4 linked regions of the Notamacropus eugenii genome follow. The protein of the gene in region 1 purifies or fractionates together with the protein of each later gene. This does not show direct contact. Links are inferred from orthologs where the notes say so. Each region holds a gene or a part of one and is shown on either strand. Other genes may lie near its edges.

The links.
Region 2: the proteins of WDR5 (region 1) and ATN1 purify together in Homo sapiens (affinity purification with mass spectrometry; 4 studies listed by BioGRID and IntAct, counting the BioPlex papers as one, with this or other methods). This does not show direct contact. The link is inferred for Notamacropus eugenii from reciprocal best matches to the Homo sapiens genes WDR5 and ATN1.
Region 3: the proteins of WDR5 (region 1) and CBX3 purify together in Homo sapiens (affinity purification with mass spectrometry; 3 studies listed by BioGRID and IntAct, with this or other methods). This does not show direct contact. The link is inferred for Notamacropus eugenii from reciprocal best matches to the Homo sapiens genes WDR5 and CBX3.
Region 4: the proteins of WDR5 (region 1) and MGA purify together in Homo sapiens (affinity purification with mass spectrometry; 5 studies listed by BioGRID and IntAct, counting the BioPlex papers as one, with this or other methods). This does not show direct contact. The link is inferred for Notamacropus eugenii from reciprocal best matches to the Homo sapiens genes WDR5 and MGA.

Annotation. Positions count from the first base shown.
Region 1 is NC_092872.1:486,764,807-486,772,305, forward strand, and holds the start of WDR5 (WD repeat-containing protein 5), read left to right. Parts: upstream 1-4,488; 5' UTR 4,489-4,617; intron 4,618-7,499.
Region 2 is NC_092874.1:195,317,949-195,325,242, forward strand, and holds the start of ATN1 (atrophin-1), read left to right. Parts: upstream 1-4,283; 5' UTR 4,284-4,424; intron 4,425-6,632; exon of another isoform or gene 6,633-6,694; intron 6,695-7,294. UniProt on the Homo sapiens protein: Transcriptional corepressor. Recruits NR2E1 to repress transcription. Promotes vascular smooth cell (VSMC) migration and orientation. Corepressor of MTG8 transcriptional repression.
Region 3 is NC_092874.1:17,305,275-17,313,115, forward strand, and holds the start of CBX3 (chromobox protein homolog 3), read left to right. Parts: upstream 1-4,824; 5' UTR 4,825-5,086; intron 5,087-5,369; exon of another isoform or gene 5,370-5,521; intron 5,522-6,347; 5' UTR 6,348-6,375; coding exon 6,376-6,399; intron 6,400-7,841. Other genes in the region: HNRNPA2B1 (heterogeneous nuclear ribonucleoproteins A2/B1), read right to left, coding at 241-321, 405-506, 669-879, 1,118-1,264, 1,372-1,482, 4,185-4,190.
Region 4 is NC_092878.1:27,734,856-27,742,852, forward strand, and holds the start of MGA (MAX gene-associated protein), read left to right. Parts: upstream 1-4,983; 5' UTR 4,984-5,272; intron 5,273-5,345; exon of another isoform or gene 5,346-5,457; intron 5,458-5,471; exon of another isoform or gene 5,472-5,552; intron 5,553-5,928; exon of another isoform or gene 5,929-6,075; intron 6,076-6,079; exon of another isoform or gene 6,080-6,153; intron 6,154-7,997. UniProt on the Homo sapiens protein: Functions as a dual-specificity transcription factor, regulating the expression of both MAX-network and T-box family target genes. Functions as a repressor or an activator.

The sequences.
Region 1 (7,499 bases):
GATCACATACTCTTTGGGGGCAGATCATATCCCCCACTTTGTAGACAACTTCTCACCCCCACCTCACATTCTTTATACCCAGGTCATCTTCTCACCATCTCTTGCCTCTAACACCTTGTCCTCCCTCCCCTCCCCTCCTTCTCCATTCTAGTTCTGAATCAAAATGAATACTGCCAATGCTACTGGAAAGGGTTCATCATTCTAACCCCCAATGATGCTATTCATCATCCCCACAATTTTTCAACCATAAAAATCCCTTTCTGGCCTCTACCCCCCTTCATGTGTTGTCTCCTATTAGAATGTAAACTCCTTGAACGCAGGAATTCTTGTATTTGTGTTCCCAGTGTTTAGCCCAGCACAGGGAAATCATGAACATTTAATAAATGCTTTTTAACTCTTTCATTAAACTACTTATTTCACAAGGTTGTAAAAGAAATGTGAAAGTACTTTGAAATGGTGGAGCATTATTTAAATATAAGACATTATTTTAAGGTCTCCAGTCTAACTAATTTCATATGCTTTGAACCTGAATGAGATTATTCAAGTAATATGTGGCTGTGCTGCTCTTGCTTATCAAGTTGTCAACTGAATCTCACATTCCAACTACATAGGAAAGTGTCACAAATTCTCCCTATGGATTGAGTAAAAATAGATGTGGAGGACTGAAGATATGTTATTAAGTGGGAATCCCAAAGGAGTCCATGCTTGCTTAGTAATATACCCCATATTGAGAAAGGGTATTTCTCAACATGGGGTATGTTCCAACTAACAGCCTAAGGATGTTGTGAGAGGGCTAAAATCTGTAGAAATACTACAGAGGAAGTAAGAGCTGGGAGGGGCCTTGAATTCCATCTAGTCCAATCCCCTTATTGTACAGAATAAATATATAAACTGGGGCATACATAAAGTGATGATATAAATTAAGCGACAAAGCCAGGATCAAAATCCACATTCCCAGCTGTGTTTTTTCCACTCTGCCATACTGCCTTTCCTAATTTAAATTTCAAATAATAACTTGGGAGAATATAAATTTCCAGAAATGCTCAGGAATACTCATTTGATGCTGTGATCAGAAGGGTTGTGTGGTTACCTAAAGTCAAATTCAACGTATCCAAAATAAAACTGATTATCTTTTCCCCTATCGCTAAATTTTGCCCCTCCTCCAAATTTCCATCTTCTTCTGAGGGTTCCACCATCTTTCCAGTCACCCAGATTTGTAATTTGAAGCAATAACTGACTCTTCCTTCTCTTTCATTCCCAACCCTTTAATATACAACCAGTTCCCAAGACTTGTAGATTCTACATCCATTAATGTCTCTCATATGCATCCTCTTCAATCTGGCACCGCACCTTAATTCAGGCCTCTTGATTAGAGTATTATAATAGCCTAATTGATCTCACTATATCCAGTCTCTCATGGTACAGTAGAAATAACTTTTTTGGGAAATCAGCCATATATTTAACTTGTTCCACCTTAGCCAAGTCATTTTACTTCTCTGGACCTCAGTTTCTTTATCTGAAAAATGAACAGGTAGATTAGATGATCTCTGAGGTTTCTCCTAGCTATAAACCTATGGTCTTTTCTAATCTATTGACCACATACCTACCAATCTAAACTTGCTAAGATACAGGTATGATGATGTCATTTCTCCACTCAAAAACTTTTAGTGGCTCCCCATTTTTTAAAGAGGACTATTCACTAAATGAGTGTTACCTTATTCTAAGTGAGTACCTGAAAAAGCCTTAGCCTAAAGAGGCCAAGGTCTCCCATTGCATCCTGGGTGGTCTCCAGTCATCCTGATGAATATCTGGTCACTGGATTCAGATGGCTATGGAGGAGAAGTGAGGCTGGTGACCTGCACAGCCCTCCCTCCCTCAAATCAAAGTCAAGTGCAAGTCATGTCATCATTCCCTTGATGCCATGGTCCTCTTTGAAAATGAAAGACAAACATAATAACCACCCCAGGATAAGATATGAACTGCTCAGACTGGTAATCAATGCCTTCTACAATCTGGCTCCCATCTACTTGTCCTGCTTTATTTCTTATTCCGTAATAAACTCTATGTTCTAGTCAAACTACCTAATCTCTGAACTTGGCATTTTATTTCTGACCTCAATGCCTTCTGACAGGCCAGTTCTTTTCTTCTCCCTTCCCACACCTCACAGTTGCAATAATAGTTATAATGATAGTATATATACATATGTATATAAATCCATTAATTTTTCCAAAGCAATTTCTTCACATCAACCCTATAAGTAGGAAGCATTATTACCCTAATTTTACAGATGAGGAAACTGAGGCACAGGAATTGTCTTGCCCAGGGTTTCAGAGCTGGAAACTTAAATTATCACCTCATTCCTAGTACAATGTTTTCTCCACTATATTATGAAGTTCACCCGTCCCTTATTTCTATTTTTCAGAAGATACATATATAGACGTACTTATACAAACAAATGTGTATGTATATATGCGTGCATATGTGTATGTGTATATATGTTCTAAATTTTTTACATTATTAACATTTAAAACTGCACTAAGACTCTTGGGATATTCTGAAAAAATGCACAAGTATATGAAATCACACATAACATACCTGTATATACGTGCCATTATGTATCTAATGTATAGGAAATTACAGACGTAGCTGTGCATTGTGAAAATGTATAGGAAATAGGCACAGAAAATTAAACATGTATGTGTATGTATATAATTCTACACCTAGATATTGTTGACCTGAAAACTTGGTTAAAGAAAAGGCAACAGGCTAAATGCATACATTTTATGATTTAATTAATTAATTAATCAATTCCCTATTAAAGACAACAGTAACATAATGCATTATGGAGCCAGAAATGTTCTGGCTACCTAGTGCAGAAATCTTCTGGCTTATATACATTTTGCTGTGAGAAAGGAACTCTCCTAGTTGAACAAATTATAAATTTAGTAAGACAAGACAATTAACAAAGTAATGTTGGTCAGGCCTTGTGATTCCAGGCTGGGTAAACATATGTCCCGGTGACAAGGAAGGAAATCCTACCACTAGTGAGTGGCAGGCTTCCTGCCCTAAACAGATAACTGACATAGGAAAGGGTAAACAAAGTTTAATAGAAATTACGACCTAAGATGTCTATATTTTCTTTACCATTAATATGCCATAACATAGTGTATGTCTATAGATAATAAGATATAAAGGAAAGTCCCATTATTCAAGATAGTGTCTTAGGTTAAAGGTCTCCTAAGGAATGTAGAGTCAGCCTTGGCTGGCTTTGTTGACATAGGAAGAGGCACCCTCTGAGTTTGCTTCAGAGAGAACAAAGAGATTATTCCAAAATTTTATATTAAACATTATCAATATACACACTCATATGTGTATACACACACACACACACAAATACAATTTCCCATGCTGTGTGTGTTTGTTGGGTCTCCTAAAAGTCTTAGTGAAGTTTTAAGGTTTCAGAATGTTGTGTGTGTTCGTCCTTCCTTGCTGGAGAAGACCATGCCACCAGAGACATGATGACATGACTTGCCCTTGACTTGTGTTGAGTGAGGGAGGGAGGGCTGTGAGGTCACCAGCCTCACCTCTCCTCCAGAGCCATGTGGATCCAGTGACAGATATTCCTCAGGAGGACTGGAGATGGCCCGGGATGCCCTGGGAGACCTGGGCCTATGCAGGCACTCACTTAGAGTGAAGGAATGCCCATTCAGTGAACAGGCCTCTTTAAGAAGGAATCAGGGCACGGCCCCTTTAATGAGGCAAAGAAAAAGAAGTACATCAGCTGGGAGGGAAACGGCAACAGTTACCACTGATAATCACTCTTAAGGCGGGAGGGTCTGGAAAACAGCCCTTATGGGGAGCCTGGGCCGGGGCCTGCTGGGTGCGATCTATGGGCGTCTGAGGGAAAGGAAAGAGAAGGTTTAGCTATGTAAACACTCTGGAAGGACCCAACTCTCGCTCCTCCCGCCCTCTGCCTCCTGGCCCCCTCCCCCCGCTCCCCAGGCCGTCCGTCCGTCTGTCTTTTTCTCGGTCTCTCTTTTCGCCCTTCCCCCTCTCTCGTCTGTGTCTCGGTGTCTCCGTCTCTCGTGGGTCCCTCTGTTCTCCCTCTCTGTCTGTCTGTCTCATCAGTCGCGTACCCCTCCTGCCCAGAGGATCTCTAAGGTCCCAACAAGTCCCTTCTCTCCGAACTTCGTTTTGCTCATCTGTAAAAGGAGGGGTTTGGATTAGGGGACGTCTTCCCCACTCTGCCATAAAGGGGCAGCGAGAAACGCCAGTAAATCCTTTAAGGAGTTTGAGTTACTGACAATTTCGGCCTTCGCGGCTTGCCGTAGCCCATCTCGGAAACAGCCTGGTATTGTGTCCTTACCCCCTCCTCCTCCCTCTCTCGGTCCTTCGCTCCGCCCCTGCGCTCGCCCCCGCCCTGTCGCCGCGCATGCGCCCGGGGAGCTGCCACTCCACATTACCCGCCTGGCGCCGGGAGGAGGAGCCTGCGCTGCCGCTGCCACCTCCACTTGGTCCCGGCGGGCGCCTGGTCGTCCGTCCTCGCCCGGGTCGGGCCGCGCTGCGCTCCTCATGAGCGGTGGCGGCTGTTGAGGCTTCGCCCCGAGCGGAGGTGAGGTAAGCGGGCGGAGGGCGGCGTCCGTCTGCGTGTCCGACCCCGGCCTGGAGCTGGGCCTGCGAGCCGGGAGGAACGGCCGCGCCCGGACCCCGGACCCCGGTCGCTTGCCAGAGCGCGGGGGACGGGCCTGCGCCGCCAGGGCCGCCTGCTCGCCAGCCCGGGGTGCGCCCCCTTTCTCCGAGGAGAATCTGGCCCCCTCCGGGCCCCCAGTGCCCCTCACCCGCATGCAGCCTGCGGGGCCCCCTCGCCCTGGTGTCCGCGTTCTCCTCACCTCCCCCCCTCCGGCTAACCACCGACGCTCTCTCCGTTTCCCCCACCCCATCATTCCTAAGCGTGGACCTCGTTTGTTCCCCATTCCTCCTCCCCAGAAGGACAGGCCCCAGTTCTACCCTGCCCTTCTTCAGCTGTCCCCCAGTCTTCCCAAAAATACCTTGGCAGCGACCAAGGCGGTGCCCCCCATTCCTCAGACTCCTTCCCCGTGCCTTCTTCAGGCTGGCCAAGCCCCAAAGCTGCAGTAGTTGCCTCTGCTCTTCCTCCCCTACTCCTCCAACACCTTTAGGAATAGCTTTCCATGAATTGGGAGTGTACCTCCAGTTACCTCCTTCCCCATTTCTCATAGCTGCACTAGCTCCTCGGGACTGCACTCAGCATCCACCTGCACCCCTTTTTCCAGGTCAGTAGGGACAGATCACTTTCACCTAATAATACAGTCACACTGTCCCCTACTCCTCTAAAAAGCCCAAAAAACTCCCCTTTGAAACACCTGGATTTGGATTCAGGATGCTTCATTATACAGTGAAATCCCCGTTTTTACCCTTTCTTTACCCCATCTAGAAACATCTGGGCTTGGACTCAGAAGGAATGCACTAGCTCTGTTACCTGTTTTATCTCTAGTGCACCCTAACCTCTAAGCAGCCAAACCCCAAGTGTTTTCCCTCATATCCCCTTATCACATATAAGAAAAATGGATCCTGAAACGACCAGGTGACGCTTAAGAGGGTGGCATTCCCTTTTTTTTCAATAACTACCCTTTCAGTTGTTCCTTTTCCCCCATTCCACTCTTTTACTCACACAGCCTGGCCTTAGCCTAACTCATTCTGCTTCCTCTCCCCTAAAAACTCTGAACCATTAGTTGTGAATAGAGAACAGGATTTCCTTTTCTTCAGTGATCCCCTCATGGTATCAGCCATGGCCCACTTCCCTGCCCCTCATCCCCTGACTCAAAACCCTTAATTTTGAGTCAGACTGTAGGATGGGCTTCTCCTATTTTCAGGGATCTCCGCCTTTCTAATTGCACATTTTCCTTGTCCAGCCAATCACACTTTTCTCTTAGCCACATCCTCGGAATGACCCCTTCTCTCCCTGGGGCTGGGGCTATATCTTTCACTGAAGGAGGTAGGTTTTTGTCTTTACCCAGAGCCTTTCACCTGAGCTTAGCTCATGCATTTGGGGGCAGAGGGAGAGCTCTTCTCATTTCTTCAGCCAGTAGTCCTCTGGTGTGTTCCTGGTCAGAGTTCCTGGCTTGGTCTTCTCCCTACTCAAATATTTCACTATTTTTTTGAAGTGGTTAGGCCATCTACTAAATGTTATTTTCTTGCTTTTCATTTCTTTGATGCCATTCTCTTTTCCTTTCCTTCTGATTTCAAAAGACTTAAACTTTGCCGGGTCCTGACCACCAGATCCCCTAAACCTTTCCTAGATATATACTAGGGGTTAGGGTTGCTAATTAAAACCTGGGATTTGTATGAGGGAAAAAAAACAGGCCTGATACCTGTGTGTTTTTTGGTCTGCCAGAAGACTTGTAAAGTGAGTGCTTATGATGTAATCCCTCTCTCCCACCTCCATCCTTCTCTTTTCAATGATTCTTTGGCCAATGTTAGTATTATTTATAATGACTTGTTTCCCCTTAGAGCAACCAGAAGTTCTGGTAAGACATTTTAAATTAAATTAGAATTCTCCCTAAATTAAATGAAGAAATTACAATGTCTAGTCTAGTGATTTTTAAGGTTTTCTGATGGAAAAAATAGGAAGTTTCAAAAATAGACATTTACCTCTTCTCATTCAACTGGTACGTGCTTGATGTAAGGCAAGTAATGGAAGTTAGTGTTGAGGCTACATCCAGAACTACTGATCTAAGAGGCAGGTGAAATAATTACTTACAGTACAGATTTTCAATACTTCCCATTGTCAAGCTGAAATCTAATTGAGCTGCAGTAGAGATTTTTTTTCATCTGCAGTATGAGTCTTGGTTGCAGAGTATCAGTGCAGCATTTCAAGCTTTGCTACAGAAGGCAAGGCAGTTGAAATTCCAACACAAAGCTGACTTTGGCTTGCACTTTTCGGCTCTGTTTCCTGGTTGTCTCATAAGCAAATGAGCTTCTCAGCTCACTAGGGAAACAGAAAACATCCTTATGCCTATAGTATGGAAACTGTAGCAGTCCATAACAACCATAAGGCTTCAAAAGTACCCTGGGCTTGTATTTTAGTGTATCTGCTTAATGTGTTCCACATGATTTGTGTCTTGGAATCTGGGTAACTTCTGAAACTGCTGTATCCTGCTGGGATTTAGTTTTCCTGTCAGTCTTATGAATTTAAAAACAAAACAAAAAATTCTTTAAAAATAATCTTTAAAGAAATAACTAGATCTTGGCTATTCCCAACAGCATTTTTAGGATTTTGAATAACAATGGAAAATGCCTCCATAATTTGGAATATTACTGTATATGGAATGCAAAGATAGTTCAAAGGTAGCTTGGTTATGAACAATAAACTAAAAGGTAGGAACCGGAAGTTTAGGATTACTATATTCTTTCTCTAAATTTATTTCAGTTATAAATTTATCCTCAACCTGAGAAGTTTTTGTGTGATAGGCTTCAGTATT
Region 2 (7,294 bases), on another chromosome or scaffold:
GTTGTGTATGTTGGATGTGTGTTGTGTGCGTTTGGCATGTTGCTCATGTTGGCACATGGGACAGGGCCTAATTTGAGATTATTTAAGTAATATTTATTTATTTCGTTTACGTATTTATTGGAACCCTAGGGGCCGAGCATGCCTTGTCACAGGGGGCTATTTTTCCATGTCTCATTCAGCTTTGTGCCACAGTGACCATGGGTAAGGAGGTATAGCAGGAGTGGGAAGGGTAAAAGGAAATGTCCCATGCTTTACCTCCTTTGTTTGGGGACCCCTCCCCTCAGCTAAAGATCCCTCCCTAACCCTAAATTCCCAGATTCTTCCCTAGACTTCCCCATCTTTCTCCCAGCTGTAGCAGAGCCATGCCTCTCCCTCCCCCCCACCATTGGCACCTACCGAGTCACCACCATCTCCATGCTGCCCACAATTACCACTGTCATTAAAGTCTGAATCACAGCCCCCCTGTGTCTGAGAAGTCTGTGCCCCACTATCATATATGAAGGGAGTGGGCTGGGGACTGGGAAACAGAGAATAACAGTGCCCCAAGATGAGAATCCCTAATTAGAGAGGGTGGGGGCAAGTGTGTGTGCCAGTGCAAATGTGTGCAAAGGGGGTGTGGGTGGGGGAAAGAAGACCAGCTTAGAATGACCAAGATGGGATCCAAGAGCTGGAATCCTGAAATGCCTATTCTTTCTCAATAATATACCAACTTCAGAGAGACACTTTGACCTGGATTGCCCCCTCACTGGGCTCCCATCCAAGAAGGACTACAGTTGACCCTGGGGGAAAGATCACATGGAGGACCATACAAGTCCCAGAGCCAGCTGTCCCTTGGAGAATGGATACCCTTTCACTCCCTGGGGCCTGGAAGGGGAGTGGGGTGTTGGATTGGGATATCTCTACATAAATCGGAATATAGGGGAGGCTGAACAGAGTCTGAGTCCCTTCACAAACAGGAGGGATGGATTTCCTAGGTCGGAGGATCAGAACACGCCCATCGACTACTTCCAATTTTCCTTCCTCATTTCTTAGAGAATACCACAAACAAAGGGGTCCCAAGAATAGGAGACCTTTTCGATTGAGAGCCCCTATAAAGAAGTTCCATTTTAAGAAGGCACCTCCCAGTCAAGGCCTAGTCTGGTGACCACTAGAGGGAGACAAGGTTCATGAAACACGAGCTCTGGGGACCAAGGCCTAGAGCGCTCAAGGGAATTCAGAGCTATTGTATAGTCTACACAGGTCTCCCCCATTATTATAGCTTGAGATTGCCTTTTCCCTCACCTAATATCAACCTGCTGCAGAATACGGGGATCTAATTCCTGGTGGACAGGGTCCCTCATTGGACCCCTTCCAGGACCCTCAGCCTGCCCTGGCAGGGTCACACACCCATCACCCGAATGTTAGGGACTTTGCTGATATCCTCTTTCATACTCTTTTCTCTACCCTTGTCTTAAATGGCTGCCCCTTCCTGTGACTCATTCATTCCTTGTTCACATCTTAGTTCTCTCTCTATTGCCCATTCCCCATCCATTTCTTAGTCACTCCTCTTCCTATTTCTTCGCCCTCCAACCCTGTCCCTTCTCTACAGGCCTTTCTGTTCCCTCTCTCTCCCAGGTATAAGGGAGGATTGGGTTACTAACTCTGCTCTGCCTGGGCCTCCCAGGCCCCTCTCTCTACTTTCCCTTTGTGTGGTTGCTTGGTGACTACTGGCTGAAGGGTGGGGGTGGAGAGAAGTGGTGTGAAGGATTGGGGTGGGGGGCTTGTGCAGCTGGTTGAGTGTGGAAGAGAGAAATAACCTAGTTTCTCTTCCACATCTACAACCTTAGATGGGTCTCCATCATGCCCCACCCCCACCCAACACACCCACCACCCAATGCCTTAGTTTCCCATTCTCAGCCTGGAGGAAGCAACCATTCTATTCTCCCCTGCCCCACCCCTTGGTGGTCAGTAGAGAAAACAGAGACTGGGGAGAAGGCTTGAAGCTGAGACTTGAAGTGAAGCCCAGTTTGAGGCAGAAAAATGCAGAATAAGGTGGGGAATGAGCGAAGTTGGGTGTATGCAATGGGAGGAGCCCTTCAACATGTGAGGTAGGAAGTAAGTACTGTCCAAGGGCATAGGATTGAAGGGGAATGTGATCAGATCCCAAAGGAGAGGGAGAAGAAAGGGGAAGAATGAGAGTGGACAGATAAAATTTGGGTGAGAGTACTTGATTTGGGACTGTTTCCTCTCTTGGCCATGTCTGTATCCCAGCAGTTTGGAATGCTGCCTGATGTTTTCAGTCCCACTCTCAGCATCATCCTTGCCCTCTAGACAAGCCTGGGGAAAGTGGAGAGGAGAGCAGCCTAGGGGTGGCGGTGGGGGGGTCCCAGGATGCACTGTCCTCCCCACCCTTGAAGGCAAAGCGGACTTGGATGGCCAGGAACTGACTTTCACCTCCGGCTGGGCCTGGTCCCGGACATTTTTCTCCTGACTTCCCACACCCCCCTCCCCCCCATCCAAGGAAGTGGAGGGGACTCCAAATCCACAAACTCCAGGTCCAGCTCTTCTTAATTGCCAGCTTCCTCCTCCTCCTCCTCCTCCTCCTCCTCCTCCACCCCTCCACTTTCCTCTGGCCTTCTCAGTCTCTGCAGCCAAAAAATCACCCAGTGTTTCTAGGTCCTTTGTACTGGGAGATGGGACAGCTGGGTGTGGGACGGTGAAGGGGACCTGGAGACCACGGTTGGGAGGAACTGAGGGTTTGGAATAGGAGAGTAGTGGTCATGGTGGGGGCAGGTGGGTTTTATACAAACTGGCAACAGGATAAGGGAGATGGAAAGGGTGGGTTTCCAAGGGGTTGAGTGTTGGGGGAAGAAAGGGGAATATTTCCAGGACTAGTAAAGAGAAGGGGGGCAGTGTTGGGAGGGGCAGAACAGTGGTTGGAGAGTGCCACAGACATTTCTGGGACACGAAAATGGGTTTAGGAGTTTGGTTCAAAGTGCGGCTTATCTTCCACTTTTCCTCCCCACCCCCACCCCATTTCTGTCCTTCCTTGTGGCCTGAATGACCTTTGCTGTGGACAGGGTAAGACAGGCCACAGAAAGGGGAGAGGCTAAAAGAGAGTGGCCAGACCCCAAGGGTGACCCAGCTGGTCTCCCTGCCTCCCCCTACAATCTCTACCTCTCTTTCAGCATCCCCCTCCCAATAACCTCCTACTTCCCCCATTTCGTCCCCAGCTCTTTAATTTCCTTGCCGTGCCCCCACTTCCCATCACTTCACCTGTACTGCCCCATCTTCCTGCAGACCCCCTTGGCTCCCCAGCACATTCCCATTAGCCTTCCTTTCTCCCCTTTCCCCCAGCCTCTCCCTAGGATTCCCATCTGGCCCGTCTTTCCCTCTCGGACCCTCCTCCTTCGTTCTCTTCTGTCTCCCCCACAGATTTCCCTCAGTCCCCCAAGTTTATCCCATCGCCGCCTTTCCCCCACATCGCCTGACCCCCCAAACTTCTCCCCCACCCCCTCCCCGTCTGAACTCTCGATCTCGTCTCTTCCCCACATACCCCCTCACCCCGAACTCCTCCCACCCCCCAATTCCGCCCCCACTCCCCGAACTCCTCCCACACCCCCGTCTCCCTCTCACACACCTCATCGCCCACCGAACTCCTCTCATACTCTCCGTCCTCCCCAGATTTCCCCTGCGATCCCCCGACTCACTCCGTCGCCGCCCCCCGAACTCCTCCCACGGCTCCCCCTGCTCACATTCCATCACCCCCAGACTCCCTGCAGGCCCCCCTCGCCTTTCTCTCCGCACCTCGCTCCTTCCCGCTCCCCCTCCCTCGCGCCCCCTCTCCCCTCCTTCCCTCCTCTCTCCCTCCTTCTCCTTCCCTTCCTCCCTTCTCCCATCCCCCTCTCTCTTGCTCCCTCCCTTCCCCTCCTCGTCCCTTCGCCTCCCGCTTTCCTGTGCGAGTCTCCGGACGCGCGGCGGAGCCCGCCCGCAGCCCGCGCCGGCCGGGGGCCTCTCTCCGGGACACGCTTCTGGGGGGGCTGGGGAGCACGATCGGATCCGAGGGAGGGCCCGGGAGGGGGGCCGCGATCGGCCCAGAAGAGGGGCGGTAGAGCGGAGGGCGGAGGGGAGGAGGAGGAGGAGGAGGGGGAGGAGGAGGGCTCGGGCTCGGAGGGGGCCGGGACCCCGGGCCCGGGAAGGCAGCGGTGTCACCGGCGGTGGGCCCCGGGAGGGGCCGGGGGAGGGCGGCCGCAGGGCGGGGGGCTTGCGAGGGCGATCGAGCGGCCCGGGGGGGATGGGGGCCGCCCCCGCGGGGCCCCGAAGCCGCCGCCGCCGCCGCGACTGAATCCGGGGCGGGGAAAGAGGGGCCCGGGGAGCCGCCGCCGCCGCCCCCCGGAGCCCTGAGCGCCGCCCCAGAGGAGCCTGCCCTGCGGAGCCAGCACCCGGTAAGATCTGCCGTAGCCCGAGTCCCTAGATCCCCGGCCCAGGGCCCGCTGCCCCCCCTCCCCCGCCACCCCACCCTTGCTCCCCGCACACCCCACCCCCAGTCGCCGCCGCCGGCGTCTCCTCCATTTGTTATTTTCTTCGATTAAGGTTCTCCCCACTTTCCTCCCCCCACCCCCGCCCATTGCAGGCACTGCCCGCCCGGAGCCTGGGGGCGGGGGGGGCACAGAGGTTGTGGGGTCCCCAATTGGGGGGTGGGGCAACACAAGCTGAGGGGGAGAATAGGAGAGGTGAAAGTGAAGAAAGCTTGGAAATGTCGGGGCTACGGGAAAGGTGGGAGAACCTTGGTGGGGAGACGGGGTCCAGAAGGGAGGTGGGGTGCAGGGGAGAACGGGGAACGTACGGAGGAGGAACAGAAGGGAGAAGCAGGGAAAAAAGAGTCCGTAGGGTGCAGGGGTGAAGGAGCGGGGGTGGGGAGAAGGGATGGCAGTGGTGTACGGGGAGGTTGGCACAGGAAGGTCTGAGGACCCCCAGAACGATTTTTCAGGCACGTAGGTGTAGGTAGCAAATGGGGAGGGGGTGTGGTAGATGGGAAGATGAGAGGTAAAAGAGAGCCTAGATAGAGGATAAAATAAGAAACGGAGTTGGAAGCCTGTAAAAGCTGAAGAAAATAAGAGATTGGAAAGGAGGCAACCAAAGGGTCTCTCTGAGGTCAGGCGTTTCTGGGGCCCCTGCACGGCCTTCATCCTCAGTCTTCTTTTGAGCAGAAAGTCATCCGGACCCCTATTCTCTCTATTCCAAACACATCTACTTCTAAGTAGAGGGCATCGAGATGTAGGGACCGGGTCCCTCAAACTGATCAGTAAAGTCAGGAGCAAAGAGGGGAATGTCTGGGGTGTGCAGAAGGGACTTAATAGAGAAAGGAAAGCAGGTAGGCAGTGGGAGGACTCAGTCTAGTAGAGCAGTTCAAGAAAATTGGGTCTTCAGGTATGCAACCTGTTCTTCTCAGCCCCCAGTTCCTCACAGTGCCATCCTGTGCCCACCAGCCATGGTGCAGAGCTTCTTCTATACCACAGCCTTTAGCTCTAAAAGACCCTTAAGGGATTCCTTCCTAATAAGGCCAGACACCTTATAAACCTCTTTCCCTGGAAGGCAGGAGTTAGGGGTGGGCCCAGTGACTTCTTGTTTATGGCAGCTCTGGGAGTATTGGCAGCTAGGCTCCTAGATGAACCCCTGGGGCCTGCTCTCAGTGGGACTCCAGTGTGGAGTTTCCATGGCAGTGGTGCCTCTAGCTGAGTTTCTCACTTGGTCCAATGGGGTGGTCATGTTTGTGGGAGAGATTTGGTTGGACAACTGTTGGTGGCTTTATCCTTTAGGGTTCTATATTCCCACAAACACCTACCAAGTAAGGCTAGTCCAATTTCATTCTGGCTGTTGGGTTGGGCATCTCCATCTTGGGTAAGGACTCCACAGGAAGCATCATGTTCTTCTGAATCAGCTTTCTCCAGCCTTCAGATGGTCCCTGCCCGCAGTAAAAGTGGAAAATTTACATGGACATTCACCATGTTCCTTCTCTAAAGTCCAGTGGGTTGAGAACAGATATGCTTTTGTTGAAGTCACTTTTACCGTTTTTCTATCGCTTCAGACTTCCTCAACTGGTTCCACAGCTATCCTTCCATTTTCTCATATACTAACTCTCCCTTATCCCAAATATTTCTCTACCTCTTTTCAGGCCAATTCCATAATGATTTCTTCCCTTAGTAGTCCTTCTACCTGCCATCTCATTGACTCTATACTCATGGCCTCACTCTTTTTTCCACCTTTGCCAGATGAGAATATCCCTTGGGAGAGCAACAGGTAGTGATTTGGTAGGGTTGTTTGTAGGTGAAAAAGCCCTGGCCAACATTTGGTCTTTGAATAGAAGTCACGTTGTCATTGGAAGGTTGTTCCAATGTTGGTTTAAGTTATCACTCCTGTACAGCCTGGCAGAGCAACAGAATGTAGACTAAGGGTCCTTAAACTCTTCACATCAGGCTCTCCTAGTACCTAGCCAAGTACCTGGCTTGATTCTATATTCTTGATCCCCTATCCTCATTGATTCCTCAGGTTTTCCTGTTCCCCTTTGCCTTTGCTCATTTCTCTCTCTATGCTGCCCCCTCTCTGGCCTTACTCCTTTGCCCTCTGAATGTCCCTCTTCTCTCTCTGCACAGGTGACTAACTGCTAGGGAAGAGAAGGTGGCTCTACTATTTGGTGCTTTAAAAAAAGAGGCTCGTATGTATTGAACACTCCCTACCAGTTATTATCCAACCAAAGAACCTTTTGGGTACCCGAGTCAGGCTGTAATGTTTCTCTTCGGTGACTTATTTTCCTCTTCAAGGCTGCTTAGTATTAACTCACTTTCACTTGATTTTATTTGTATAAACATATCAGGGATGAGGACACACACTGGTGCTACCTCTACCTAATTTGGAGATTCAGGGAATAAGTTGTGATAGTAGTAGTAGGTCATGAACAAAAAGTACCAACAGAGATGGGATCATCTAGAGAGTGGAGCTGACATTTGGGAAGGACAAGATGGACACATTCATCTTTGTAGTGTTTTTGGTATGAAATTTCCCTTCCCCCACCTTGTTGCATCTGATTTATATTTTCTAGGTTGATACCTAGTATTTTGAAAATCATATCAAACATCTACATATTAATTGGCAAGAGTACAGGTGAGGAAGGTCTCATCTAGTGGTCAAAGTAGCAGATGATGGTGTTATGTGACTTTGGGCAAGTCATGAATTCTTCTTAGGCCTCTTTCCCCATTTGTAAATGAGATGAATCATCTCCATTCCTCCCTGTCTTAGAAGGATAGAATGAAAAACC
Region 3 (7,841 bases), on another chromosome or scaffold:
ATTACACACTTGGTGTGTAATCACTGGTTATGTCCAGCCATCATTTCAAATTATTATTAAGCATGCAAATGGTGACAAGCACACCATTTAAAAGAAAATTTGTTTCTTCAAAGTACTGAGAATGAGATGGTAAACTTTTATTAGACTGGCAAGACTTAAGTCAAATAAATTCTAAGAATTATTTGTATTCGATAGTTGAGCCTGTTTGTATCTCAACTATTATGCTGCATTTGGACTTACCAGATCCCCCTCTAAAATTGCTTCCTGGGCCTGGTCCAAAATTTCCGCCACCACCACGGGAATCCCCAAAACCAAAGTTTCCTGCAAACAATCACTCACATTAGCACCAAGCTTCCCTCACCCGGAATAAGGCAGTTAGTCTGATGAGAAGAGAACCACATTACCTCCTCTTCCACTCCTAGAACTTTGCACTTCCTGCATCTCTTGTCTAGATAAAGCTTTTCTGACTTCTGCGTTATGGCCATTGATGGTATGGTATTTTTGCACTGAAACACAAGTTCAGAATTTGAGAATCAACCAGCATCCTGCATTTTTAAATCTTTTTTTTTTTTAATTTGGAGAAAAGTTCAATGCTTTAAAAGAAAAAGGGCAACAAAAAAGTTTTTCCAAAGACACTACATAGAAAACAAAAGTTGTAATTTACTTACATACAATTTTATCCACAGGATCATGGTCATCAAATGTAACAAAACCAAAGCCCCTTTTTTTACCAGACTGTCTATCTGTAATTATTTCAATAGTATCGATTTTCCCATATTCCTCAAAGTAATCTCTAAGGTGATGTTCCTCAGTGTCTTCTTTAATTCCACCAACAAACAGTTTCTTCACAGTAACATGAGCACCAGGTTTTCCAGATTCCTAGGACACAAGGATATTAATACAAAATGTTACTTGCAAACTAAACCATACATTTCACCTAAGGAAAATGTGTTTCCTGCTATGAAACCAAATGGTCAAAGAGAGCAAAAAAAAAAAAAAAAAAAGGCTGGGAGAGAAAAGCTGGTCAAAATTTTAAACTCACAGCCTCTGGAAAGACTTGGATCAAGTTCACCATTGCAGAACAATTAGACCCTCAGTCAAGTTCCTTTCTGCTCACCTCTCTGGCTACTGCTCTTTTCGGCTCCACCACTCTTCCATCAATTGAATGAGGTCTTGCAGACATAGCTGCATCCACTTCAGCCATGGATGAAAATGTTACAAAACCAAATCCCCTTGATCTTTTGCTTGCAGGATCCCTCATAACCTATAAAACAGAAAACTGAATCTGTTACCCAATAAATACAATGTAACAGCATTTACGTCAAAGCATTTTTTAAGTTTGCATTGTCAAGAAGTTCAAAGACAATTTACCACACAGTCTGTGAGTTTCCCCCATTGTTCATAGTAGTTTCTCAGACTTTCTTCCGTGGTTTCAAAGCTCAGGCCTCCAATAAACAGTTTACGGAACTGTTCCTTTTCTCTCTGCAAACAAAAATAGGAGCACCGAGATTTAGTCACTTTTGCTGGTACTTTATGGAGCTCCTAAATGCTTATTTTCACTTAAGTTTTCTGAATTCTTTATAAATATAAGCCATCTATAGTTAGAGTGATCATCAAAAGGTTTCTGTGTTTCTGGAGTGTTCAAACCAGAGCCAGTGTGGTAAACTTCAGAGCTGAAGATTAATTTCCATCTCCTGTGTGCCCTCTAGCGATGGTTCCAATAAATCTCAAGACAGGCCAAGTATGTGCCATAAATGAACTGAAAGGGACACTTCTTTCATTACTCAAAGTTGTCCACCAGTTTAGGAGGAAAAAAATAACTTTTAAAAATTTTTCACCATTGTTTATTAGTAAAAACTAATGGCCTCATAACCTGAAATATTTTATTTAGTTCACATGTTTATTATGCGGAATAAAAAACTTAATAGCTGAAAACAGTTTCCACAAATTACACAGGGAGCTAGCACTTCCAAATTTTATAGTTAATACACTCCCAAAAATTTAAGTCAGAGGAGCCCTAATACACACCTTGAACTTATAGAATTCTTACAGCTTTCCAAAACAAATCATCTCATTTGATACTAATTAAACCACTCCACCAAGTTATTAGCACTATTTTACAGATGAAGAAATTGATGCAGATCACACATCTAAGTGGCAGAAGGGATTAAAAATAATTTTAAGATGACTACTGTAATTCAGGTGAACCGGAAGTGTAATCCTGCTCTAGTAACTGATGATCCTATGATCATCGTTGTGTACTGAAAACACACATTTCACTAAAGTTTAGAAGTGATTTTTGCATTTTCAAGTTAAGAGTCAAACTGCAGACAGCCTTAAAGTCAATTATAAAAACATGTTTCAACTACAATCCTCAAAGACAAATAAGGATAATAGGAGTACTGCTTCCCAAGTCTCAAAAGAGATTTAGATAATTAAAAAAAATTCAGCGTCAAGTACTTGTGGAAATACTAATTCCTAACAAACTTCCTTGAAACTATTCAGATGTATCCCTCATTCAAGTTTTCAATAATCAAAGCTGTAAATTGCAACAAAGTGAATCACAATTTCAAGTAGTGTTGAGACTTAGAACATAAAGGGTTTTTTGGAAAAGTTCATCTTTTAAAAAATAAGGTTCTCTAGGTTTATTGAGCCTGAATTCTGAAGATACCACAAATATCGGTATTTAGTTGTTACAGCTTCTTTTCCAAGTTGTAAGATTCCCAGTTCTCACTCGTTTCTATTCTGGGCTGCAAACCTCTTTAAAATTAGATTCAAGTACGTCTAAGACTGTGATGCTTCAAATCCTTAAGTCTTTACGGAAGGCAAAGAACAGCCAGAACCTGCTCAGACTCCAAGGAAGACTGCCTGCCCGCCATGCTCAGGGCATGGCCACGTGGTGTCTACAGAAGAAAGCGCACGACATGGAGAGGCCCGTTTCGCCTCCTTTTCTGTGGTGACCTTGGCCGGCGAGCTCTCCTGTGGTTTGTGAAAGCTCAGCCTTGGGGTCAGCGGGGTGCACTCGGTGAAGTGTCTCGCAACAGCAACATCCCTGACCCAAACTCTAACCCTCGATCCCGCAGCGCGAGCCACCGCCAGGCCTAAACGGGGGCCCCGCGTCCGCTCGGCCTCCCCCGAGCAGCGCTGCTCTCGGGGCGACGCCGCTAAGTCTAGCCCTGAAGGTAGAACGATCCTGTTCCTTTTAAGGGACTTCCATGATCCCCCCCAAGCCCGCAGACAAAGGGCGCAGCCGCGTCGGGACACCGGCCGTTTGGCTGGGCGGAGGCTGGAACTTTATCACTCAATTTCCTCCGACGCCCCGCTGGGCCGGCCCCGGATTCCATTAATTAGGCCTCGGGGAGAACCTTCCCCCGCAGCGCCTTGGGCCTCCCGGCCCCCAACAGCGGCAGGCGCACGCGTGGTCCCGGGGGAGCACGCGGCGCCGCTCCCCTCCCCCCCCCCCCCCCCGAGCCGCGGGAGGCCGCCCCACCCCCCCTTTGTACAGGGCCGAGCACGTGGTCCCGCGCGGGAGGGAGGCCGGGGGAGGGGGGATGGGCACGGATGGCGCAGCAGCTTTTCTGGCCGCCCTCCCCTCCCCCCGGGCCCGGCCTCGGCCCGGCCGCCCCCCGCTCACGCCGAGGCCTCCGGGGGCGCCCTCCCCGCCGGCTCCGGGGCCCAGGGCGTCACTTCTCGCAGCCAAGGTCGGCGCGGCCTCAGGGACGGGTGGGCGAGCGGGGGTCCGGGGCGACTGGCCCGAACCGAGACGGGCCGAGACCGCGCGACCCGAGGGGGCCTGACCACGGCGGCCGGGCCGGACCAAGACCAGGGATCGGGGCGGCGGGGCGGGAGACCGGGCTCGGAAAGATGGCGGCGCTGGGCGCGGCGTCGGGAGCGCGCCGCGGGGCCGCGCCTCTCCCACGACTTTGCCGCCGTCCAAACGGCCGGGCCCAGCGCGGGAAGCTGGGCCGGCCCAGGCGGGCTGAAGGCAGCCTCGGGCTCGGCGGGGCCTCTCGGGCGGCCTGGGCCGGGGGGGGGGAGGGGGTCACCCTGGGTCCGGCCGCCCCTCCCCCATCTCCCCGCCGCGCGTAGGCTAATGGCGCCGGCGGCCCGGGGCGGGGGGGGGGGGGTAGCCGGGCCATCCTCCCCCTCGAACCTCCCAGCGCCCCGGCCGGGCCCCGACTCACCTCCATGGCGGCGTCGGTCGCCTCAGGCCGGGGCCCCGCAGCCGAGCGAGATGAGAAGGATCTCCGCGGACGGGCGCGAACCGGACTCGTCCTGACGCCGGTGGGGGGGGCTGCCGTGCCGCGGCCAAGAAAAGCGCACCGCCGCCGGCTGCTGGGCGCAGGGTCCGAGGCGGGGAGCGAGGGCGGCCGGAGAGCACAGCGACGAGCCGGAGGAGCGGGCGGAGGCGGCGGCTCTGGCGGCGGCGGCTGCTGCGACTGCTGCTGTCGCTCGCGCTGCTGCCGCTTTTCTAGAACCTTCCCTCCGACCAACGCGTCTTCCCCTCCGCCTACGTCAGTGCGGCTGCGCAGACGCACTAACGGCCGCCAACGGCGCGGCCGGGCTGCGCTCGCCTTACGCCAACGGCGCACCCCGCCCCCGCAGGGCGGTGCCTGGCGCCATTGGCGTCCACGCGGCCTGGGGCCGGGCGCAGAGCGCGAGGAGGCGTAGAGGGCGTCTCAGAATTGCGCACGGCCCCCGCCTCGGCGCAGGGCGGGGGAGAAACGGTCGCGCAGTTTGAAATTTACACAGCCCCCGCCCCGCCCCCGCCCCGGGGCCCCGACGGGCTCCGTCCGCCCCCTCCCCGGCTCCGCCCCCGCCCCCCGTTCTGGGGCCTCGACTCTGGTCGGGCCCGCCCGAAGGGGCCCCGACTCCGCCGCCCCGTTCTTCCCGCGGCCCCCTCCCCCACCAGATGTCGACCCCGCCCCCACCCGTAGGGAGGAAGTCCTAGCGGGCCCGCGTTTTGGCGCCAGCCCTGACGCCGGCGTGGGGAGTCCCCGCCCAGCCCGACCCTGCGCGGCCGCCGGGGCTTCCGCAACCGCCCTCCGCCCCCTGGCCCCCACCCCGGGGACCGTCGCCTGCGACGGTAAGTGCAGGCGCCGCCGCCCCCCCCCCCCGCCCTCGGCGCTGCACGGCCCGGAGGCGGGGGCCGAACGCCCTTCCCGCCCCTCCCCCCGTCAGTTCCCGCCGCCCGGAGCCCCGCCCCTGACGTCATCGCCCCGCCCCGGCCGGCCGTAGGGCTCCACCTTCGGGCCCCCCCTCCCCTCCGTGCTCAGCAGCGACGGCAGCGGCAGCCCCAGCAGCGGCAGCGGTAGCAGCAGCGGTAGCAGCGGCGGCCCGCGCAGCCCAGCCCGGCCCGGCCCAGCCCCGCGCAGCCGCCCGCCCGCCGCGGCCCCGGGGCCCGTCTCGCCCGCTCGCTCGGAGGCAGCAGCAAGCAGCGGCGGCCGCGGGCAGGGCTCGCTCGCACGCACGCAGGCGGGCGGCGGCAGCAGCAGCGGCCTGAACCCGGAGCGGCGGTGAAGTCGGTGCCTTTCTTGCTCTCCCCTTCCCTTTCCCCCTCCCGGGGCCCCGGGCCGGGCAGGGGGCGCCCACGTCGGGGTTGGACGGGCGCGCCGGGCGGGGTACGCGGCGGCCACGGGGTCCTCCTCCCCCCCGGACTCCCCGCGGGCCCGTCCCGTTAGCTCTGGCAGAGGTCGGCGCATCCGGCGCCAGGCCCGGCTCCCCGCGCGGTGCGGGCCTTTGTTCCCGCCCCCGCTGGGGTCCTTGAGGCGGGCGAGGGGGGTTAGGGAGCGGTCCGGGAGGGGCCTGGGGGGCGGCTGATGGTCGGCACAGCAGCGCGGCCTGGCCTTGGACCGCGGCCTCCCTTTGGCCTTGGCCTCGGGAGCGTGGGCAGGGGGCGGCCGGGCGGCCACGTGAAGGCTCCGGCTTCAGGGTGGTCGGGGGAGCTCCGGGGTCTGCAGGCTATCTGCCAGATCTCCAGTGTGGGGCTGGGGGGGTTCGCTTGGGAGTACTGCTGCCCGCTTTCCCCGACAACTGCCCCGGGGGCTCCTTGCCCCGCAGTCTGGGGAGCCGCGGGCTTTGTGTGTGCCCCCGCCCCGCCCCCTCCCCACGAAGGCTGGCGAGTGCTCGGGCTTAGGTGAGCATGCTGATGGAGGCTTAGGTATGTGCCACCCCGAACGTGCGCAGGAGCTCCGAGGGGGCTTCTCCACTGGACTTTGTCCAAACTCGCTTGTGTCGAGAGAGAGATGTGTGCTGCATACGTGGGGGTTGGAATCAGGACCGAACTTGTATTCAACTAGCTTTTTCTCTCATGTAAACTTCCTTTTAACTGTCATGCATTTTTCTAGTAAAAGCTCTTCAAGTCTGCAATAAAAAATGGCCTCCAATAAAACTACATTGGTAAGTTAATAAGCACCTAAAATATGTAAGGATTAACCCAAGTCTTCCCCCCCCTCCCAAAAAACAATTATAACTTTGCATCTCTGTGGTTCTAAACACACATCCAACTTTAGCCAAGAATTTGGGCCCCATCCAGGTCAGGAGAGAAGTCGCGAAAGTGACTTAGTAAAGTCAGATACAGTGAGAAACTCATCTCCAACACACAAGGGGTTTTTGTAGGACAGGAAAGGGAGGTTTGATGAAGCTACGTAAAGCAGCAGTTACATAGTATCTTCTGAGAAAATAACAGGGTTTCTTTAGCATCCTTTCTTCTTTCTGTATCCATCGCATAGGATGCAGCCAACCTGAGAGGGCCTATGGAATTCCTCGGAGCCATTTGATTGGCTGTGACTTTAAAGTTGAAGTTATCATGCATTGGGGGTTTGGGGGTTGTTGCTCTAGGAATGTTTAATTTAAAAGCTAGGTTATTCTTAAAGTTAATCTGGATAAAAGTTACTCTTTGAACCACTTTTTCTTTCTTTAACTTTGTGAGAGGCAGGGAGACTCTAAACTGCTACGTCTGTCCAAGTTCCATCAGCCAGGTTGTAATTTTCTTAGAAAGTAAGTTTTGGGAACCAGGGAAGGACAGAGCTCCAATCCTTGTGCATATTTCAAAACAGCCTTTTCTGCCAACTCCAGTATGTGTATCTGGCCATTTCATGATGCCTCCTACCTTGATTTCTACACTAAAATGTGCATAAAGTTGCATCTGCTTAGACCCATTAGATTTAATGCTGGCTGAGAGCAACTCTTCATTAAGAACATTCATTGAAAATTCACATGAAAATCACGAAATTCAAAGTTATGGTTCCCATTGTATCGAGTTCTGTATTGTTTTAGTGATTTTTTTTAGGCCTAAAAGGTGAGTGTTCACAGAGCTGAAGCCACAGTGTCTGTATGTACTTTGTATACAGTCTTTGGATTTCCCAGTAAAGAAAAGAGAGAAAATTGGTAATGAGTCAACGTGATGTTAGATTAAGCCAAATGCCATGGAGAATAAGTTGATAGCTGAAATACTAAGATTGTCTGGTGAGATTCCCACGCGCTTGAGTGTCATCTATAGTGTTAAGGTGACTTTGGGAAGATGTCCTGATGATGTCCTCGCTTCTTTCCTTCAATTTTTCCTAGATTTCATCAGCCAAATCTCCATGTTTTTATGAGTTTGCATTTACTGCATTCTGTGGCCAAAGAAACCCAAATGAAGGGAAGGGTTAACTGTCCATGAGATGGAGGATGGAGGGCTCTGATGATGAAGGGATGAGCAGGAGGAGTCTGAAAAGGTTCCCTTGCTGCCACCTCAGTAAATAGCTCTTGAGCCAGGAAAGTGCTGTGCGCACTGGTTTCCAAAACTTTGCATGCATCTGACCTTCTTTGTATCTAAGTGCACAAAGGTCTTCCCAAGA
Region 4 (7,997 bases), on another chromosome or scaffold:
TAAATGCTTGTTGCCTCACCATAAGTGGTATCATTGAGTCAAAGGATACGTATAAGATAGTTCCAAATTGTTTTCCAGAATGGTTGGATCAAGTCATACCTCCACTAGCAATGCATCAATGTGCCTGTCTTCCCATAGCTTTTCTAACAATTGCAATTTTCCTTTTAGTCATCTTTGCTAATCTGATGGGCATGAGGTTGCATTTTTCTCATTAGTGATCTGGAACATTTTTTTCATGAGATAGCTGATCCTTGCATTTCTTTTTTGGAAAATTGCCTGTTTATGTTCTTTGACCACTTATCTAATGAGCTCTTATATACATTATATATTTGACTTTCCTGCCAGATTAGTATACTTGCTCTGATGCTGTTTCTTCTCACCCCACTTAGAGTGGGCTTGTCATTCAAGCTGGTTCAAGGGCAAAATTCATTCAGTTCCCTGAAGGTTCAAGGAGGGGAATGCTGGGGATTTCCTTCTTAACCAGCAGGTGTCTATCTGCAATATCCTTATCTCCTTGGCAACACAAGGAACACAATACATGTCCTTTTTGTTTTTGCCTTTCCATGTGAATCAGAGAAAGAAGTACCTTTTCCTTTTTTAAACCTAATGCTTCCACCTTTGTGTTAGATTCCAACCCATTCTGCTTCCTCTGGGATTTAGCAGTACCAGTTTTCTTCTCTAATAATAGCATTTATACAGTGGTTTTAACATTATGCCATTTGATCCTCACAACAACTCTATGAAGTAGGTGTTACATTTACCCCCATTTTCTACATGAGGAAACTGAATCTGAAAGAAGTTAAATGATTTGTCCAGTTAGACCATTAGTATCCGAGGTAGGATTTGCACTTGGGTCTTCCTAACTCCAAGTCTAGCACTCCATTCACTGTGTTACTTAGCTGCTGCTTCTTTTTCAAGTGTAAAGTTCTGCCCCTTTTTTACTTCAGTAAATGTTTACCTTGTAAGGAGCAAGTTATAGAGACAATTGAGTGGTAAAGGCTCTTCCCACTTCAGAGTGCATTTGTGCCTTATAGGGCCTAACTCCCTTTTAGAAGTGCCTGGATCATTTTACACTTTGTAAAGGATAATAAAATTTACGGTCAGATGGTAATGAGCTTGTGGTTCAAGGCTGGAACTGTGGGATTTAAATTTGCATTTGAAAACGCTTAGTGAGTGCACTGGCATAGCTCAAGCTTCACGTGCTTGCATTACTCTTGTTTTGTCACTGTTCAGCATTTCAGGCATTTCTGACTCTTCATGACCCTATCTGGCAAAGATACTGGAGTGGTTTGTCACTTTTTTCTCAAGCTCATTTTGCAGATGAGGAACTAAGACAAACAGGGTTAAGTGACTTGCCCAGGGTCACACAGCTAGTAAATATCTGAGACCACATCTGAATTCAGGAAGATGAGTCTTCCTGATTCCAAACCCAGTACTCAGTCCACTGTGCCACCTAGCTGCATGTTTACATTACACAGGGATCTGAGAAAGTTGCTCCAAGCTCTACCCTAGTAGAAAAGCAATTCTATTTTTGTGGAACCTATGCTGTCTCTACGTGAATATGTCTATATAGGAAAGTGTCTCATGTGTGGCATGTTGTGGGTAAGTTCTGCAAACAAATATTTATTAAATATTAAAAATCAATAGTGTAAGTTAGAGAGGGTAACCAATCCACACCAGCAAAGTCAAGTTTCCACATTAGGAATTCCTTATATTGATGAAACCACGTCTGGCCAAACAAAATGTATAAGGCACAGCGCTGTGGGAGATTCCTGCCCTCCAGGAGCTCAAACCAAAGAGGAAAGAGATGTACACGAACTTCAAATTCAAAAACAGTTTTAGTACCGATGATGTGAAAGTACTATGCAAGCTGCTGGGGATACAAAGAGATATAATACAGATCTCACTTTCATAGGAAGTATCATAGAGAAAAGACATATAAATGAGTAATAATGATATTAGGGAGAATTGATAAGTGCAAAGGAGTGGTGGTGGTGGCAGGCAAAGTATGAAGAAATCTGAGGAGGGAGAGATCACTTTCATCTATGTATACTCTATGTAGGTACACTCAGGGAAATCTTTATAGAAGACGTAAACATCTGAGTTGGGTCTGCAATGAAAGAAAGTACTTGAAAAGACAGAGGGGAGAATGTATGAAATAAATTTCAGGTAAAGGGGAGAGTGTGAAGGAAGGCACAGAGATGGAGGATACCAGAAGGAGAGAATGTGCCAGATAGCATTCCATTTTGGCTGGAATTTAGGATAGCCAAAGGGCAGGTAGGTGGCATAGAGGATAAAGTGCTGGGCCTGGAGTCAGGAAGACTCATCTTCCTGAGCTCAAATCCAGCCTCAGACACTTCCTAGCTGTGTGACCCTAGGTAAGTCACTTAACCCTATTTTGTCTCAGTTTCCTCATCTCTAAAATGAGCTGGAGAAGGAAATGGCAAGCCAAATAGCAAACCAAAATCCAGTATCTTTGTCAAGAAAACCTCAAATGGGATCACAGCGTTGGACATGACAGAAACTATAAAACCCTGGAGTGCCTGAATTGGAGGCTAAGGAGAGCAGAGTGACAAGACACTGGCAGAGCATTAGGAAGATTACTTGGTCAGTAGTGTGGATTAACTGAAGAGGTAATAGTCTAATTAAAAGACCAGTTAGGAGTCTATTATAATAGTTTAGGTCAGAGTCTGAACTAGAGTGGTTATATCATAACTGGAGAGATCAGATATCAGACATAGTGGTGAAGTAAAAATGATAGGATGTGGCAACTGACTGGATATGAAGAGTAAATGAGAGGGAAGAGAAGGAGGGCCATAAGGTTATGAGCCTGGAACACAGGGATGATGGTGTTGCCTTTGACAGAAATAGAATTTACAGGGGAAAGATTCAGTTTGGAACATGCTGAGTTTAAGGAATCAGTAGGATATCTAGGTATAGATATTCAGCAGGTAGTTGGAAATAAAAGATTGGAGTTCTAAGGTAAGTTTGGGTGGTAGAAACACAGATTTGGGATTTGTCTCCCTAGAGATCACTGAAGCAATAAGTGAATAAATGAGATTGCCAAGGGAGACAAGGCAAAGAAAGAAGAAAAGGTTAAGAACAGATCATTGGGAGACACTGACATTTGAGGGACAGGAGTGTGACCAAAGGAGGAGAACCCTCAAAGTACAATGTCACAGATACCAATGCCATTAGACTTCCTAATAAAAAAGTAATTAATAACCTTTAAGATCATTCAGTAAAATGGGGACAGAAGTCAGATAAAGTGCTAAGCAAGTGAGAAGCTGGGGAGACAGTGGAGGCAAGCAGTACAGACTAATTTTTCCACAAGTTTGACGAAGATGAGAGAATAATATCTTGGGAGGTCTAGTACGGTTAAGGGAAATTTTTTTTTTTTTAGGAGGAGGAGAGCAGATAAAAAACACAAGATAGAATAGGAAAATGGATATGAACAAGGTACAGAGAGCTGAAAGAAGGAATAGATGACTTCTGGCTGGTAGAATCAGGGAAGACTTCTTAGAAGAGGTAAAATTTGAGTGTACTTTTTAGGATGAGTATAATTAGATGTTGGGGAGAACATTTACCATGGTTTGCTAAAAGGAATGGAGGCAAGAAAACATTTTATATATTTGGAGGATGACAAGTAGACCAGATACATAAATTCCACAAAGAAGTGTAGTATGAAATTAATTCATTCAACAATAATGTATTAAGTGCCTACTATGTAGAATTCAAATTTAGTCCCTGCTCTTAAGGTAACTGCAAAATAGCTGGTATGTCAGGTAAACAGATATAAACAATACAAATTTAAATATAACTGCCTAAAGGCAAAAAATCCTATGAGCTCAGATAACTGAAAAGATCTTTTCTATTTGCAAAAGTTCAGGGATTTCTGAAATAGAACATTAACACGTGGAAATGGATTTGAAATAATACCAGAAGGGTAGGTTGGCACTAGACGGTAAAGATTATTTTGAAAGTGAAAAAGGTGAACTCAGGGAGAGCAGGTGAAGTCTGACCCACGTTCATCATCCCACATCCACTATAAACCGAAATCCACAACTATCTTTATTCCCTAAATGATCTCTCTCCCTTTTCTGCCCAATTAGGGGCTAGTTACTTGATGCCTCCATTTCAACTCTATATTTATGATCTGGGAGGCAGCCTGGCATCATGGCTTATCGAGTCTACCTTAGGGTTAGGACGATCAAGTTTCCACCCTGACACTTACGGGCTTTGTGGCTGCCCTCTTCTATCCCCTCCCCACTTCTCGTTGCTCCAGGACTCAAAGGATTACCTACATCATTTAAAACCCAGGTCCAGGGAGGGAGATCGCCGGCCCTAACTCGCTAACTGAGGTCCACAGTGTCGGAGAATATTTATGAAGCATCTCCTACGTTCAGGTTACGTGCCGGGGATGCACAGGTGAGCCCAGACCCTGCCCTCACATGGGCTACAATCCTACCAGGGCTAGGGGAGATGAGACAGGCACAAGGCAGTAGAAGCTGGCCAAGTCGCCCGGGATGACAGATGTACGGGGCTGTGCAGATCTTACGGTGATGCATAAATGCTAACTACTCCTTTTTAAGAGGTGAGGCAGGAGAGAGCCCGGGATTTCCTGAACCAGAAGTGTGGAATGTCCTAACCTAAGGCTTTCCCCCGTAACTTTGTTTCTCTTGAACATTCAAGTGGCTACTTTGTTTCATTTCACCTGCCCCGAAAGGACGAAGAGGACACTCTCCGTATCCCTCCAGGCACGCAGTGGCCACGCAGCAGCCGCCTGCTCCCGGGATGGACGCGAAGGGCCGGGAGGTGGCGGCCCCCAACACTGAGCTGCGGTTCGGGGTGCGGCCGGCCGCCTAACCTAGGTTTCCCCACACCCGGACTAGAGCTCTTCGCACTGGACCCCACGGTCTCCAAATAGCAAACGCTGCCCAGGACCGGGAGGCTGAGGAAGTCGACTTATCTAGAAGCCTGGAGACGCTAAGGAAGACCACTCTCCCAGCATGCCCTGCGGTCACCCCAGGGCGGAGTGACCTTCCCAACATGCAATCGGGTGACGACCCCCCTCCCCTCCTCACGCCCCGGCTTCCACCTTCGAGAGAGGAGAATGGAACTGGATCGCTAAGTGTGAACGCTGCCGCCTGGGCGCCCGTTCCTCTTTCCTAGGGCTTTCATGGGCGCGAAAGCCGGGCAGCCACGGCCTCAATGACCTGCCCTTTTTTGCACGAAGCCCCGGGTTTCGTAGCTGCTTCGCACCACAATGGAGGTGATGAGCCGCGGTGCAGGGGGGGAAAGGGAGGAGTCGGGGGGAGGGGAGGCAGGCCCGGAAGGGGCACGTGACCATTCCTGGCCTCCAATGACGGCCGCGGTAGGCTAGGCTGCGCGATGTTTCCCGGACCTGTGAGCGGGAGTGGCGCGTGGGTCTGGCTAACGATTGCTATTCCGTGACAGGTACGCGCAGGCGCACTGCGTTTCCCATACGTTACGTCGGGCCCCCACGCGCGCTTGTTAAAGACTGCTCCGGGCTCGAGGTGTTGAGTGTATATGTAGGTGAATTTTTGAGGGGGGGAATTGGGGGTTGGCGTCACGTGACAACAGTGGGCCAGTCAGAGACTGAGGAGGTGGCATCGCATTCCCGGAGGCCCGGGGTTCGATGTGCATTGGGGTGCAGAATGTTTCACTGCGGTTCGCTCTAACTGGGGCGGCCCGAAGGCTCGGTTGGGGGCGTGTGTGCCGCCCGCGGGCCCTCGGGGAGCTTGTACCCGGCAGATGGGAGCGGGCTCGCCGCGATCACGCATGGTTAGGTCTCCCACAAAATGGCCGCTCGGGCGGCTGGGGAGTTGCGGGGTCACGTGAGGAGGCTGGCAGCGCGTGCTGCCGGCGAGGGGTGGGGGTGGGGCCGGAAGGGCCTGTCCGTCACGTGGCCTCGTCTCCGCCGCAGGAGGGCGGCCTCGGCCAGGTGGCGCTCTCGGAGCTTCTGGCTGACGGAACTGACCGAGGTCGGGAAGGAAAGGAGATGTGCGTAGGAAGCGTGGATTAGCGGGTAGAGACAACTGAGTTTGGAAACAGGTAGAACCGGCTTTAAAACGGCCGTCCCGGACACTTGGGTCACTGTTTCTGAGCCTTACTTTGCCCATCTGTGAAATGGTGAGAACAGCACACTCGCAGGATTGTGTTTGAGAGGCCGGGTGTGCTTGTATATAAAAGAAAGGGGAGCCGTTATTAACTCTGAGTCAATGGCCGCTGCTTTCCAGAAGCCAGAAGGGAGGAGTGACTCTTATTCGTGCCAGAAATGAAGATGTGGCCCCTGGCTTCCTGTTACGTGTTCATATTATGGGGAAACCAGCCCCATTCCCTTTCCAAAAATGCCCCTCTCTGCCACCTCCTCCCCGAAACAAACACACTGGGCAGAAGGACTGGTTTAAGCTGTTCCTTCTCTTGTCGATGTTTTCCTCCTTTCATTTCTCCTCCTTTGAGATTTGGTAAAGAGCCCAGTGGAACCAGTTGTTAAAACTAACTGAATCATTGCTTCCTGATAGGAACAGTAAATTATTTATCGTGGTTTCTTCTGTCTTGACTCCAGTTGAAGGAGCTCTTGGTCCACATGCACCTTTGAAAGGACCACCCTGCTAGAAATTCTTGTCCCAAATGGGTGAAACTGAGCTTATTAGAAAGGGAAATGATTGGTGATGGAGCCAGGTGTCTTTTACATTATCACGAGGCTTTAAAGAAAGCCCTGTTGTCAGAAAGATGAATTTGCATTCTCCCACAGACACTTAGTAGATGTAATCAGGGGCCAGTGGAGGCCTCTGTTTCCTCATCTGTAAATTGGGAATAATGACAGCACCTACCGGTAATGGTTGTTATAAGGATCAAATGAGATAACGTGTAGAGCACTTTAAAATGCTATATAAATGCTAAATATTTAAAGAGTCTCTGAAAGAAACATGAAATTATCTGTAGATAATTTGGAAATCTACAGTATTCTGGCAGCATGTCAGGTGCCTTCTGAAATATGAAGTTCAAGAGGGATCTTGCTTTTAATTATTGATTATAAGCTCCCATTGCAAACTAAATACTCTCTTGAAAAGTTTTATAAAATATGTTTCAGATTTTGATGTACTATGTAACATGCTATGTACTTATTGAACATTTATTAATAGTGTCAGTGATTGAGTCTTCAAAGAATGCAAATAATCTTTGTTTAGTAAGAAGAACAGATAAGAATTGTGTGAAGTTTTTTAGTCCTTCGTTTTTGCGGAGATTGGCAGAGTAATGAACCTACTTATTGCAACCATTTCATGGTTTGAATATGCTTCCTAAGCAAATGAGATTTGAATTTTCAGTTTAATTCCTATTAATGGATGCCTGGCTTTTCTACTAGACACAGATCCTTCATGAAGGTTGTGTAGAGGAGTTGTCTTATGAGGCTACTAAGTAGTATATTGTATAAAGCACTGAACTTGGAGTTAGGAATGCCTGAGTTCAAATTCTGCTTCAATTGAAATAATATTTGTAAAAAATGCTTACTGGCACTGTGCCTGGCACAGAGTAGGTGCTATAAAAATTTATTGTTTCTTTCCTTTCGATATCTCTCACCTTCAGATGCTAGTTATGTGACCCTGAGCAAGTCACATAACCTTTCTCAGGTTCAGTTTCATCCTCTGTAAAATGGGGCTAATAATAGTGTCCACCTCATAAGGTTGTTTAGAAGTTGAGATAAGATAATATATGTAAAATGCTTTGCAAACCTTGAATTGATGTATAAATGCTAGTTATCATTTGCATATTTGAAGTGAGATCAGATCCTTCAGTAAGAAAACATAAAAGAAAATGTAAAGTTGGGTTTGGAGTGAGACAATAATGCCCAGAAGCTTTCTTTGATAGGTGGGAATGGGGGCAGAATATATTCTGGACAGCACTTTACCATGATTTTAACTGATGAATGTGGCACATGTACACCAATTGAGGTTTAGGGGTGCTGGGCCCCC